Oryctolagus cuniculus: one gene and its partner. The protein of the gene in region 2 purifies or fractionates together with the protein of the main gene of each other region. This does not show direct contact. Links are inferred from orthologs where the notes say so. Each region holds a gene or a part of one and is shown on either strand. Other genes may lie near its edges.

Evidence for each region.
Region 1: the proteins of CNOT10 (region 2) and CAPZB purify together in Homo sapiens (co-immunoprecipitation; 3 studies listed by BioGRID and IntAct, with this or other methods). This does not show direct contact. The link is inferred for Oryctolagus cuniculus from reciprocal best matches to the Homo sapiens genes CNOT10 and CAPZB.

What each region holds. Positions count from the first base shown.
Region 1 is NC_091438.1:151,256,099-151,263,361, reverse strand, and holds the end of CAPZB (F-actin-capping protein subunit beta), read right to left. Parts: intron 7,182-7,263; coding exon 7,116-7,181; intron 6,605-7,115; coding exon 6,528-6,604; intron 5,628-6,527; coding exon 5,525-5,627; 3' UTR 5,515-5,524; intron 3,346-5,514; coding exon of another isoform or gene 3,258-3,345; 3' UTR 2,545-3,257; downstream 1-2,544. Other genes in the region: SLC66A1 (lysosomal amino acid transporter 1 homolog), read left to right, coding at 1-48. UniProt on the Homo sapiens protein: F-actin-capping proteins bind in a Ca(2+)-independent manner to the fast growing ends of actin filaments (barbed end) thereby blocking the exchange of subunits at these ends.
Region 2 is NC_091435.1:169,315,471-169,322,456, reverse strand, and holds the start of CNOT10 (CCR4-NOT transcription complex subunit 10), read right to left. Parts: upstream 4,237-6,986; 5' UTR 4,217-4,236; coding exon 3,946-4,216; intron 1-3,945. UniProt on the Homo sapiens protein: Component of the CCR4-NOT complex which is one of the major cellular mRNA deadenylases and is linked to various cellular processes including bulk mRNA degradation, miRNA-mediated repression, translational repression during translational initiation and general transcription regulation.

The DNA of each region.
Region 1 (7,263 bases), on a different chromosome or scaffold from region 2:
ACCACCACCGCCACCGCCGCGGAGCGCGAGCCCCTGCTCCCTAGCTGAGCAGCCCCCGGCTGAGCCCGGGATGAGGGAGCCCTCCGCGTGCCACGCCCAGGCAGGGAGGCGGAGCCCGCCACGTGCCACGCCCAGGCAGGGAGGCGGAGCCCTCCACGTGCCACGCCCAGGCAGGGAGGGGTGTGGGCACTGCTGCTGTCCCGTGGCCCAGCTGCCCCTCCACCGAGCCCCGGCCTCCCAGGGCGAAGGCTGCCGTCCCTGGGAGCCTTGGGGGCGGGGCTGCCCTCACACCCACCTACCTCATGGTGCCTGAGCGCCCCCTGGGGGCCCCTGGCTGGCCTCTCAGTCCCTGGGTGCGCGGGCCCGGCTGCCTGGGAGCCGCTAGGGGGCGTCCTGTCTGTAGGCTGCTCTGGGCCGCTGGGGGCGTCCCGTCGAGGTGTCTGTAGACTGCTGCTCTGGGCCGGCTCCGTGGCAGGCCCCACCCTGGGTGCTGGGGACGCAGCGGCACGAGGGGGCTGGGGTGGGGGCAGCTGCTGCTCGGTGTTCAGCAAGAGCAGGGCAGTCAAGGTCCACCCTTGGTCCTGCATCTGGGTGCCCGTTACCTCATCTGTGAAATGGGGTGACGGTACCGCAGCGTCAGACGACCTGAAAACGGCCCCGGGGTCCCGTCAGGCCCGCAGGGTCTAGTGGTCTGGCCCTGCCAAGAGAACCGCAGACAGGGCTCGGAATCCAATAAATCAATAGCAGCTACCTTCTAAGTTCAGTTCGTACAGCCCGCGGAGGATGTTCTAAATATCCAAATGGCCCTTGGCAGAAAAAAAGATTCCCCACCCCACAGAGGCGCAGCCACCGGGGCTGAGCTCCAAAGCTGAAGAGACAACCAGGGAGACCTTCCTGGAGAAGGTGGCGGCCAGCAGGATGGGTGGGACCTACAGGGGGAGGGGGCAGCGGGGGCAGGGCTCGGCCCTGAACTGTTCTTGGGCCCCAACAGACTGCCTGCTGCAGGCGGGGGCCAGGGCCTTCCTGGGAACTCCCTCGCGGGCAGGAGGGCCCTGCGGGGCACAAAGCTGAGAGCAGTGAGGGGTGGTGGAGCGGGTGGGGCAGCTCCCAGCCCCCTGCCTACCTGGCTTTGGCCGGGGCTGGCCAGGGTTCATCTTCCAGCCTTTATAGGGTTTGCAGGTTATGGGCAGGGGGACGCCAGGTTCCCCACACGCTAGCCAGCGTGGAGGAAGCTCGCAGGAGGAAGAGAGCTCGGCCGCTGTGACCGGCCGGAGTGCATCTTCACGGGCCCGGCTGGGGTCACTGCACCGAGGCGGCAGGCTGGCACTACTCCACAGTGCCCGCCCCACCGCACAGGGCAGAGGTCGGCCGGGGATCGGGAGACAGGGTTCTGGGAGCTGGGTCCAGCGGAAGCCAGGGAGGACCCCAGAGGTAGGTGGGCAGTGAAAGGGGCCGGGGAGACAGAGCCCCGGATTGTGCCATCTGCCAGCAGTGCTCTGGCCCCATGGTGCCTGCTGGGCTCCCACAGAGCCCCCCGCCCCCAGGCTGCCTCCCATTCTGCTACCTGGCATCCAGGGGCACCTGCGAGGTGGGGGACGAGCTGCCCACCCCAGGAGCGCATCGCCTGCAGCCCACAGACCACAGGCCACTCCACCCCCACCCCACTGCTCTGCCATGTACTCAGCCTCTCCCTCCATATCTTGGAATGCTCTAGGGGCCCTGCCAGCCAGCATGCCTGGGAGTGTGTAGGGCAGGGACTGGCCAGGCCACGGCTCCCCACTCACTCCCTCCCATCCAGCAAACCCAGTATCAGAGCCCCAGTCACTAGCATCCAAACTAGCAGTGGTGGCTCCTGCAGAAGATTCCAGAAGACAGAGCAAGATCCAGCCTGGCACAGCACAGCTGCGACTTCCAGGTTTCACGTATGACTTCTGGCCACCTGACAAAGGTGAGCGACAGGCCCTCGGCACAGTGCGGTGCACAGCGGTGACCAGAGCGAGGCCAGCATCGCAGCGTCTCAGTCGCCCATCTGTTCCGCTTGTGTGGCAAGAGCTGCTGGAACCCCCCAGGGTGGAGAGGACGCGAGTGCAGGGCTCTGTGGTTCCAGCTCCCGTGTGCTGTGCTGTGTTGCACTCGGGGTGGGGGTAGGGTCTTGTGGGCAGCAGGCGAGGACCTTCTGGCCTGGGGTTTGTGGGGGGGGAGAAAGGCCCATCCTGTAGCTCTGCGGGTTCCCCAAGCCCACAGCCTGCTTCCTCCCACTCTCCCACTTGAAAGGGGCGTGCCGGCACCTGGCTGGGGAGGCACGGGGGTGCCCAAGGACCGGCCTGCGCAGGCGCTCCACAGCCGCCCCGCGTTTCCCTACCAGGCTGGTCTGGAAGGCGGGGCGCAAGGAGGCCCAGGGCTCCGGAACCCACTCCCCGGCAAGCCCCGCACCTGCTCAGCGGCCGGGGCGTCTCCACCGTGGAGTCAGCCCTCCCCCTCCCGGCTGAGGCCACGCGGGCCTTCGAGGGAGGCGTGCGAGAAAGAAGACGGCAGACCCAGTGCTAACTGCGTCCCAGTTTCTTTTTATTTAATTTTTTTGTTCTTTTTTTCCTTTTTTTAAGTATGGAGGCTCAAGTATAAGATGTAGATATTTTTTGTTAAGCTTTACAAAAAAACAAAATAAAACAAAAAACTCCTTTTGCATTCCGTAAAAATTGACAGAAAAGCACCTGGCCAGAAGAGCAGCCCCGCCCCCACCCCGCGGCCTCCGAGGGACAGGGGCAAGCCTGCACAGGACGGCTGAGCCCCTCTCCTTCCGCCCAGGGCTGGCCCCTGTCCCCCGCCCCCCGCCCAAGCAACTCCCAAACGCACTGGAGTCGCACCTCCAGGTTTCCTTCTGTCTCTCACACACCACAGTTATTTCATAAAATTTTTTTGTTTTACATTTTTTACACCAATGTAACAAAAAGGGGGAGGGGAGGGGCTGACGGACAGCGTCTTTATGCCTAAGGGGGGGGCGGGCGGGGCGGACCGGGCCCTCGCGGGCTCTATGCAGACACCAGAGTTCTGACAGCGGAACGGTGGGAAGCAGGCCTCGGAGCCGGAGCAGGGCGGTGACTGGGCTTTATTGGGGAGATGGCGCTGTGCGGTCGAGGATGCGCGTTGTTAGGGGCCTGTCGGGGAGGGAGGGGCCGGGGACAGGGAGCAGAAAACGAGTTTTCTAGGAAAGGAACCTAAAGAGTGCGCGGCGTGTCCGGCTAGCGCGGAGCAGGGGCTTAGCTCTGCTGCTTTCTCTTCAAAGCCTCCACCAGGTCGTTCTTAAGCGCTTCTTGTTTAGATTTGTCTGCAAAAGTCTGCACAGACCTGCAAGGGAGACAAGGCGTCAACAGCGGGCCGAGTGGCAGGAGCACGGGGCCGTGGGGCTCGCGCCTCCCCGACGTGGCCGGCAAGGTGCTGGGGTGTGGGCTCGGGCACCCCTCTCCCAGGTCAGCACAGGCCCAGCCTGGGGACCGGGAGCCTGGGATTTGCTGCAGGGGGCGCGGCTCAGGGGAAGCCAACAGGGACAGTTGCTCGTGTCTGCCAGGCTGACCATGACCGCAGCTAGCGGAACCCAATGGTGGCCTCCAGGCTTCCAGGCACAACGTAGCAAGGACCCCGCTTCCAATCAGCTGCTGGGACTAGGAGGGGCCCAGGAGGAGGCTCGGCCCCGGCCCTGCGGAGAACAGGGGGCAGGGGCTGCCGCCTGGCGAGTGTTCCGGAAACCAGCGGCTGCACGGTGGCGCATGCTGGGTTCACGGCCCGTGAGCAGCTGTCAGCTTGGCCCGGAAAAAACCTTGCCAGGATTCCAAATGCGGCAGAGGAAAGGGTGGCCTGGGCCCCCGCTGGCGAACCCCAGGCTTGCGGGGTGGGGTGGGGTTAAAGGGACTGGGAACGCTGCAGTTCGTGGGCGTCACCCACCTGAGTGCTCTCCCCCACACGCATCCCAGATGAGCAACTGGAGCTTGGAGAAACGCCCCCGGCACGGCCCTGACCTGTCACACGCACTGGACAGACGGCCGGCCAGGCGCAAAGTGGCTGGCTAACTTTCTCAGTGCAGGGGCCGCTGGGCGCCACGCTGGGCTGGCCGTGCGGTGAGAGCCTCAGGTCTGACGTCAGACCCACGCAAACCATGGAAAGGAAGGGTCAGGTGTCCCCGCCACGTGTGCGTGCTGGGGAGAGCAGAGCGAAGCAGGGCCCAGGAGACTGGATTTTGGGGACCGAGTCCTGGAGACGCCAGAGTGGGCACAGACAGGACTCGAGCCGTCAGCACAGGCCGAGGAGCGCCCGTGGGAAACGCCAGCTGAGGCAGATTTTGCCCCGAGTTCTGCAGCGGCCAAAGGCAGGGTGGTGGCTCCCAGGCGCCCAGTCGTGGGCAGTGCTCTGCGGGCCTCACTGAGCTCACGTCGGAGGGCGTGACCAGAGAGCAGCGGCTCCCTCGCCCGGCACAGCTGGCTCTCCTGGGGAGACAGGACGCGGCGCTGGGTCCTGCCAGCCCCGCCCCGCAAGGACCAAGCCCAGAGTCAGAACCAGGTTAGAGCTGTGGACGTGAGCTTGGAGCAGCTGGAGGCCGAAGGAGCAGGGCCGTCACTGGGAGGGTCACGGCCGCACTCCACATAGGAAGACCACGGCCCCTGCTGGCTGCCCGAGCGCCGCAAGGCGAGGCTGGCGGCTGAGACGCCCTGGCCGTGAGATCCCGCAACCGTGCAAGGGCGGCAGCCCCGGCTGCTTAGTAAGCACCGCCACCCCCAGACTTCCCAGCAGCTCTTCTGGGCTGGGCCTCGGGCCTCGGACCCTGTGCCTGGGGGCTCGGCGGCCCTGCTGGCTGGGTCACCAAACGCCTCATTCTAACAGCCCCCGCCCTCCGCAAGAGCGCCGAGCGCCCTCATCCGTCCGTGTCTGTCACAGGCTCCAGCTCCGCCATCGGCACGGCCCCGGCACAGGCTCCAGCTCCGCCATCGGCACGGCCCCGGCACAGGCTCCAGCTCCGCCATCGGCACGGCCCCGGCACCAGGCCGCTCCAGCAGCAGCCGGTCTGGAGCAGCAGCATCTGGTCAGGGGCACGACGGCTCCCCCCACGCTTGTCCTGAGCCTCGGAGAGTGGGGTCCCCCGAGCCAGCTGCCTCAGTCCCTGTGCCACGGGGCAGGGTGTGTGTGGCTGCGGGGGAGATCCTAAGGCCACCCCGAGGCATGTGGGGAGCAGAGGGCAGCTGTGCGTGCACACAGCGGCCTCCGACAGAGCCCGCGTTAGTTCCCTGGCCTGGGCTCCTTCTGGAGCCAAAGCTGAAACCACCCGTCTCCCCGGGACCTCGCTCAGTGCACAGCACACACCACACACGTGAACGTGTCCGTTACGCGGGCCAAGGCAACATGTTATACGGCCGCCCAGCAGCCAAGAGCGCACGGGGGTTAGTGGAGGTTTAACTGGGCGCGCAGGGCCCGGCGGTTGGTGAGTGCTGTTTAGTGGGCAGCTGTCACGCCTGGCAGGCAGGGTACCTGGATCGGCTCAATTATCAGGCTGGATGTAGATCTGGCGCTGGGTCAGCACTTGGGAAAGCTCCCTCTGCAGCTGCTTAAACTTTTGGTTGTCAGGGATAGCGTCAATAGATCTACAGAGAGCGTTCAGAGGTGAGAAGCAGGCAGGGCGTGGGGGCTGGGTGCACCCGGAGGCTGCCAGCCCGAGACGGTGACTGCGTGGCGTCCCCGCTGCCGGTGAGCGCAGGCACCACCGCCGCTGGAGGAGAGGGTTGGCGGGGTGGGAGAGGGTCTGGTCGGAGGCGGAGGGCCCGACGCTGGGGTCTCTGGGCTCTGGCCCAGGAAGTCAGGATGAGAAGGGCCAAGGGGAACCAGAGGGCAGCTGGCTGGAACCTGTGTCCCAGACAGACCCACCGTGGGCGGCTCCGCAGTGGCTCAGCTGGCCTGGGACCACTGGATAGGGACAAGGGGGGTGGCCAGCAACGGCACAGCAGAGCCCTTGGCCACACACGGTGGAGAACACGTCAGACCTCAGCATCTCACCCCCCGTGCAGCCCCCTGCCTCCTGGACCCGGTGGGGAACAGGGCTCGGAGGAGACGCAGCCTCTGGGCTGCAAGGCCAGCTCGCTGCACTGACAGCCACCTCTCATGCCCCCATGCAGGCTCTGCCTCCTGCTCAGTCCTCTACGGACCCCAAGGACCCGAGCAGGGTGGGAGGGGCAGGTGAGGACCTCGGCTCTGGCTCTGTCCGCCCAGAGCTCAGTGGTCTCTCGCCCTCGCAGGGCCTAAGGGGGCTGCGCAGCTGGGGACGGAGTGGAGGCAGCCCGAGGGGCGGGCGCAGGAGCTCCGTCCCACGTGGAGTCGGCTGTGAGGGCGTTCAGAGCACGAAGGCCGCCCAGGGCTTCCCTTCCAACACCTGCGGGGCATCTCGGCCCCCAGCTCCCTCTTACAACGAGGAGGCCGAAGCCCGAGCCCGCGGAGCTGTGAGCGCGCAGGCCCTCCTGGTTCTGGAGTGTGAGTTCTGGGTACGTTACCTCAGCCCGTTGACGATGTCCTTCGTTTTCCCAAAGTAGATCTCATTCAGCGTACTTCGGATTTTATTTTCCATGTCCTGGGAAGGGAGTCAGTCACCATGGAGGCAACCAAGGAGCCAGGGCCGCCCTGGCCCAGCCCAGCCTCTCTCCCTACGGGGACACAGCCAGGGCCAAGCCCCTGGCTGCAAGGCCGCCCCTGCCCTCTGTGCTCTGAGTGTGTCCCCGACCTCAGGCCTGGTGGCCAGGTCCCAGCGTTCCTTGGAGCTGGTCAGAACCACACCATCCCTCAGCCCTCCCGCCGATACGGCGAGCAGTCCTGAGACCCCTCCTCCCAGAGGGAGGAAGCCTGCGGCACTGGCGCGGGAGCCCCTCCAGCCCTTGAATGCTCCAGGGGTCTACCCACTCGATCGGCGCGGAGCCAAGGGCTGGGCAGTCACCCCGGGAGCACGTCTCGCAGGCGTGGGGGAGATGCCAGGAGGCCAAGGCAAACACAAGCTGTGCGCCGCCGGCGAAGCGGCTCCCAGCCTCCCTGGAGACGGCCCAGGCTGCGGGGAACACAGGAGCCCGGAGCCCGCGGGGCCCACTCACCTCTACCAGGCGCCCGATGTTGGCTATGTGTGGGGAGCAGTCACTCACAGTCTCATCTTTCTCCATCTGCGAAAGACAGAACATTCCCCCGGTCAGAGCCAGAGCCCTGGGCGCGGCGGCGTGGCCCCCACCTCTAGCAGAGCCCGCT
Region 2 (6,986 bases):
AAAAAAAGCTATTTTCTTCAATATTTATAAGTATTTTTCCCACTTAGAAAACTTCTTTTGACTTAAAAAAGAACCTTCAATCTATTTTTCTATAATTTTAAAAATCCCTTTTATTCATGCCCCAAACTTTCAATGTTGAAAATTTTCATACGTATGGGAAAGCTGCAAGGCTATACAATGAACATCTGTATTTTCCTCACTTGGATTAACCTTTTTTTACATTAAACTTTCAGTTGTAAGATAATCACAGAGTCACATACAGTTGCAGACAATACACAGAGAGATCCCTCGTTTCCTCACCCGATTTCCCCAACATCAGAGGACCATCTCACAGCCCGAACGCACAGGGACAGTCAAGACGCACACAGGGACAGTCAAGACGCACACTGGGACAGTCAAGACGCACACAGGGACAGTCAAGACGCACACAGGGACAGTCAAGACGCACACTGGGATAGTCAAGACGTACACAGGGACAGTCAAGACGCACACTGGGATAGTCAAGACGTACACAGGGACAGTCAAGACGCACACAGGGACAGTCAAGACGCACACAGCCATCAACTCCGGGATGCTCTCTTTTTTACTTTACAGCTACACACACTTCCTCCCCTCCTCCTTACTCCTAGCTCCCACTAATTTGCTCTCCGCGTCAATAATCCTACCACTTCATATGGGCGCCGAGTTCCAGTCCCGGCTGCTCCTCTTCTTATCCAGCTCTCTGCTGTGGCCTGGGAAAGCAGTGGAGGATGGCCTAAGTCCTTGGGCCCCTGCACTCACGTGGGAGACCTGAATGGAGTTCTGGGCTTCTAGCTTTGGCCTGCCACAGCACCAGCTGTTATGGGTATTTGGGGAGCGAACCAGCAATGGAATATCAATCACTAGATCTCTCTCTGACACTCTTTCAAGTAGATGAAAGTAAACAAACATTAAAAAATTAAAAATAAAATTTTTAAATGCCAGCCCAAAACTAACATAAGGCAGATAAGCAGCTACCTTGAGGAAGCTAGCGGAGTCTGCTAAAGATCCAGTGGTGTGCTCAGAGTGTGAGAACCCACCAAACTGTAACACTTACAATCTTATCAGAGGGCTCTGACCCACTGCACTGGTTCATTCCCCAGATTCCCACAACAGATGCGGGAGAGGCTGGGCCAAGCAGAAGTCAGAAGCCAAGAACCCAATCCAGGTCTCCCACAGGGGTGACATCTGCTCCCACTAGGGTGCACATCCGGGGTCTGGAGAGGAGCCGGGCAAATCCAGGCATTCTGCTATGAGATACGAGGGTCCCAAGCAGTGTCTTAACTGCTAGGCCAAATGCCTGCCCCAGTCTGGGCATTTTTTGGTAACTGCCTAGAAACCCACATTCCAGGAGCATCTCGAAGAATCAGCGGTCAGAAGAGCTAACTAGGAACCGCTGGCCTAAGATGTGCCAGCAGCCAGCGGGGGTTCCCAGCCTTCCTCTTTCAAGAGCCAGTATGGTGTAAGGAAACGGGCACACGCCTTGGAACCTGTCACTCAGTCGGTACAGTCTATTCTTGGCCTGTCTTTAGCTGGAAACGCTAAATAACCACCAGCTCCCTTTCCCTCTGCCTCTGCCAGGACAACTAAGGCTTCCTATGGTTATTTTTTTAAATACACTTATGTCTGTACTTTAAACACACAAAGTGGGGGCCGGCGTTGTGCTTTGCTGCCTGCAACACCAGCACCCGTAAAGGCGTTAGTTCAGGTCCCGGCTGTTCTACTTCCGATCCAGCTTCCTTCTAACGTGCCTGGGAAAAGCAGCGGAGAATGGCTGAAGTGTTGGGGTCCCTGAACCCATGTGGGAGACCCAGAAGAAGGTCCTGGCTCCTGGCTTTGGACTGGCCCAGCTCTGGCTGGTGCGGCCATTTGGGCAGTGAACCAATGGAGGGAAGGTCTTTCTCTCTCCATCTTTCTCTTTGTAACTGACTTTTAAATAAATAAATAAATCTTTAACCACACAAATTGACAATGAAGTTAATTTAGTGTAACTTGATTACAGACCGCCTTAGATTACTGTGAAATGTCTACACCCTTCTCAAATCACATTTATACTAACAATAATCTGCTTTTGAGAACCTATCAATCTAAGAACTTATCTGCCCTATAAGAAGGGCATTCTGTGAAATGTTACTTCTTTCTTTTTTAGAAAAGATTATTTGAAAGGCTGAGTTAGGGAGGGAGAGAAGAAGGGGGAGGGGAGGAGGAGAGAGCAAGAGAGCAAGATCTTCCATTGCTGGTTCACTCTCCAAATGGCCACAAAAGGGTAGCTTTTCCAGGTGCATGGGGTGGGGGGGAGCAGGATCAAAAGTGGGGCAGCCAGTACTCAAACCTACACTCATGTGGGATACTAGTGCTGTAAGTGGCTGCTTGACCAGTTCTGGCACAACACCAGTCCCAGAAATGTTAATTCTGATAAAGTTAGCAGATAAATCAGTGTTCATGGGGCCTGCACTGCGGAGCAATGGGTTTAAGCTTCCGCCAGCGATGCCAGCATCCTAAATGAGCAGCAGTTTCAAGACCTGTCTGCTGTATTTCCAATCCAATTCACTGCTAACGTGCTGGGAAAGGCAGCGGGTGACGGCCTGAGAGTTGGAATCCTGCAACCCACATGGGAGACCTGGATGGAGTTCCAGGCTCCTTGGCCATTTGGGCAGTGAACCAGCAGATGGAACATCTCTTTCTCTTTCTGTAACTCTTTCAGATAAATACATTAACTGAAAAAAAAAAAAAAAAAAAAAGGCAAGGTATAAGTTTTAGATCGAAGCAAAATCTCCCATTCCACAAATACTCACCATAAAATTTTAAACAACGAATTTAAAAATATTTCTTAGGGGTCAGCGTAGCTGTGGCGTAGCGGGTAAAGTTGCCACCTGCAGTGCCGGCATCCCAAATGGGCACAGGTTCGAGTCCCAGCTGTTCCAATTTGAATCCAGCTCTCTGCTGTGGCCTGGGAAAACAGTAGAAGATGGCCCAGGTCCTTGGGACCCTGCACCCATTTGGGAGACCCAGAAGAAGCTCCCGGCTCCCGGCTTTGGATTGGCGCAGCTCCAGGTGTTGCAGCCATCTGGGGAGTGAACCAGCGGATGCAAAACCTCTCTTTCCCTCTGCCTCTAGTTCTCTCTCTGTGTAATTCTGATTTTCAAGTAAATAAATAATTTTTTTTTATTTTTGACAGGCAGAGTGGACAGTGAGAGAGAGAGAGAGTCTTCCTTTTGCCGTTGGTTCACCCTCCAACAGCCACCGCAGCCAGCACGCTGCGGCCACCAGCACTTTGCTGATCCGAAGGCAGGAGCCAGGTGCTTCTCCTGGTCTCCCGTGGGGTGCAGGGCCCAAGCACTTGGGCCATCCTCCACTGCACTCCCTGGCCACAGCAGAGAGCTGGCCTGGAAGAGGGGCAACCGGGACAGAATCTGGCGCCCCAACCGGGACTAGAACCTGGTGTGCTGGCGCCACAGGCAGAGGATTAGCCTAGTGAGCCATGGCGCCGGCCTAAATAACTAAATCTTAAAAAAAAAAAATATTTCTTTGAGAGGCAGAGAGAGCTCTCATCCACTGGCTCACAACCAAAATGTTCACAACGCCCAGGGCTGGGCCAGGCTGAAGCCAGGAGCTGGGATCTCAACCCGGGTCTCCCATTTGGGCAGCAGGAATCCACGCACTTGAGCCAGCATCTGCTACTCCCAGAGTGTGCCTCAGCAGGAAGCTGGGTCAGCAGCAGCCGGGACGTGAACCCAGGCACTCCAGTGAGGGATGTGGGCTTCCGGGTGGCATCCCAACCACCACGCTAAACAGCCACCCAAGATAAAAATTATGTTTGCTTATCTATGCTTCTCAAGTTTTTTTTTTTTTTAAGAGTATTCATTTTTGTAGTCAGTTTTAGAATGTTTTTTCAATGTCCATTATTTGTAACTGCTCACTTCTTACCAGACAGAGACTGCACATAATTCCACAGCGTGTCTTTATCTGTCCAAAAGTAGTCTCCATTGCCAATGGACAGAGTATACGACCGCTCATCCATAAGCTTGACCTTCCTTCTGCTCTGGCCTAAGGAGCACGGCTGACCTTCTAGGCGAACAGAGCTCTTTGACCCACAAGCCTTGACATTCTTTAAGCCAACGGACTTCATTTCTAACCAAATAATTGCTTTTTGGTTTGAACTAAGTAGAAAAGATATGTACTGCTTTTTCAAAACCATAAAAAGTCAGTTAACGGAAAGAACAGACACATTCCAGCACAGAATGTTAACCACTCAAATCTGATTGGAGGATGACTACTAGCTATAGCTCCAATGATGTTCAAGAAAAGAAAGACGTTTCCAAAGAAATGAGGAAACTGAAAGGCCTGAGGAGGATGCCTGGCCTCACGGTTGAGACTCCCATGTCTCACACGGAGCATCTAGCTTTGATCCCCAGCTCCTGAGTCCAGCTTCCTGTCCTGGGAGGCCGCAGCCACAGCTCAGTGACTGGGAACTGCCACCCAAATGGGAGATGTGGATTGAGTTTCTGACTCCAAGTTTTGGCTACAGCCCAGTACTGGCTCTTGTGGACATCTGGGAAGAGAACCAGCACATGGGAGCTCTCTTTCTAGAAAAAAAGAAAAAGGTTACCACTTCAAAAAATAAAAAATAAAAAAAATCAATTCAGGTTCACTAAAGTCACCATATAGCTAAGGTTAAGACACTTCAAATGTGGTTTCTATCATCTAAACAAGTATTTCTGACTTAACAAAACCCCACATATACTAATTTCAAAGCCAGTATTGGGGCCGGTGCTGTGGCGTAGCGGGTAAAGCCGCCACTTGCAGTGCCAGCATCCTATATGGGCACCGGTTTGTATCCCAGCTGCTCCACTTCCGATCCAGCTCTCTGCTGTGACCTGGGAAAGCAGTGGAGGATGGCCCAAGTCCTTGGGCCCCTGCACCCGCATGGGAGACCCGGAGGAAGTTCCTGGCTCCTGGCTTCAGATTGGTGCAGCTCTGGCCATTGCGGCCATTTGGGAAGTGAACCAGCAGATGGAGGGCCTCTCTCTCTCTCTCGGCCTCTCCTGCTTTGTATAACTCTGACTTTAAAATAAATAAATGAGTAAATCCTTAAAAAAAAAAAAAGCCAGCCTTGTGGTGTAGCAGGTTAAGCTCCTGCCTGCGATGCCGGCATCCCCTGCGGGCACCAGTTCCACACCTGGCTGCTCTGGCTCCATCCAATTCAGCTCCCTCCTGATGTGCCTGAGAAAACAGGGGAGAGTGGCAGTGCCTGTCACCCACATGGGAGACCCCGATGAGGCTCCTGGCTCCTGGCTTCAGCCTGGCCCAGCACTGGCTGTCATGGCCATTTGAGGAGTGAACCAGGAGATGGAAGCGCTCTCTCTTTTTTGGGTTCTCCCTCCCTCCCTCTCTCTCTCTAACTCTGATTCCAATAAGTAAATCATTTTTTATAAAGAAACTATAAAAAAGGACTAATTTCTACAAAGCTCCGAGAAGTAAAACACGACCAGTGAAGCCACGTTCTACAGTACAAGCAGTCACTAAAGCAGGTCCCCTCTACTTGAAGTTGGACAGAAGAGCTGGAGAACTGGCCCAGAGGATAAGCCAGTCATACCAGCAGCAGTGCCACAAACCGTAGCATCCTGCCAGTCACAGACCTCGAGTAACTAGGGTCAGCACGCTTGGAAGACAGGCAAAGCAGAACACTGCCACTGACAATGAGTATTCTTATCTTCCCATCTAAAAGCACTTTTTATGCATAGAAATATCTGAATTTTAGTCTAGTTGAAACATTGATACTTGAAATATTAAAGTCACAAATTCAAAAATCCTGGATATCCTTCAAACTTTCACATTCAACTTAGATATCTTATTCTATTTGAAGGTCTAATTTTGAAGGGTTGTTATAAATGTTTGAACTTTTAAAAAACCATTTGGCTTATTTGAAAGGCAGAGTTAGAGAGAGAGAGAGAGAGGGAGAGGGAGAGGGAGAGGGAGAGGGAGAGGGAGAGGGAGAGGGAGAGGGAAAGAGGGAAAGAGGGAGAGGGAGAGAGTATTTTCCATCTGCTGGTTCACTCCCCAAATGGTCACAACAGCTGGGGCTGGGCCAGGCAGAAGCCAAGAGCCCCAGACGACACGGGTGGCAGGGACCCACCTATTTAAGCCACCACTGCTGCCTCCCCGATGTGCATTAGCAGGAAGCTGGAATCAAAAGTGGCGCAGTATGTGGGTGTCCCAGATGGCAGCCTAACCGTGGCACCACAACGCCTGCCCAGAGAGCTGCTCTTCGCGGCAGAAGGCCTGCTAACAGATGCACACAGCAACAGAACCAGGGAGGTGCCCCTCTGCAATGCCCAGTCTCAAGTGGGGATGTCTGCACAATGCCTAATCGCTTCCCCAGAGAGTACTTCCAGTTGCCTGGAAAAAGATGCTCCTGTCAACCACCTTAACAAACCGACCAAATTTAGCATCACTAATAGTGGATAACCTGACTCCTACAAAGTGCTACACATCTAATAGCCCAAATAAATTTCAGTTTATGAAAATACAGGCGGTAAACAAACCAAGTAAAGGACGCCAGGAAGAAGCAGACACATCTGGAACCCTGGGATATTCTACCAGATAACTTGGTCTCTTCAAAAAGTCACTGCTGTCGGGAAATCAGAGTGGCCAGTGGAATTAAAGAGTCTCAAGAGACATATCAAAATATAATACTGTGGGGGGGGGGCGGGGGCAGGGTTGGACACCAGGCAGAGCCATTCAGCCACCGTTTGGGACACCCACATCCCACAGTAAAAAAGGCCTGGATTCAAGTCCTGGCTCTGCTTCCAGTTCCAGCTTCCTACTAATGCACACCCAGGGAGGCAGTGATGGTGATCCAAGCACTTGGGTCTCAGCCACCTACGTGGGAAAATCAGATGAGGTCTGGCTTCTCGTTTTGGACTGGCCCAACCCCACTTGCAGCAGGTATCTGGAGACTGAAGTTT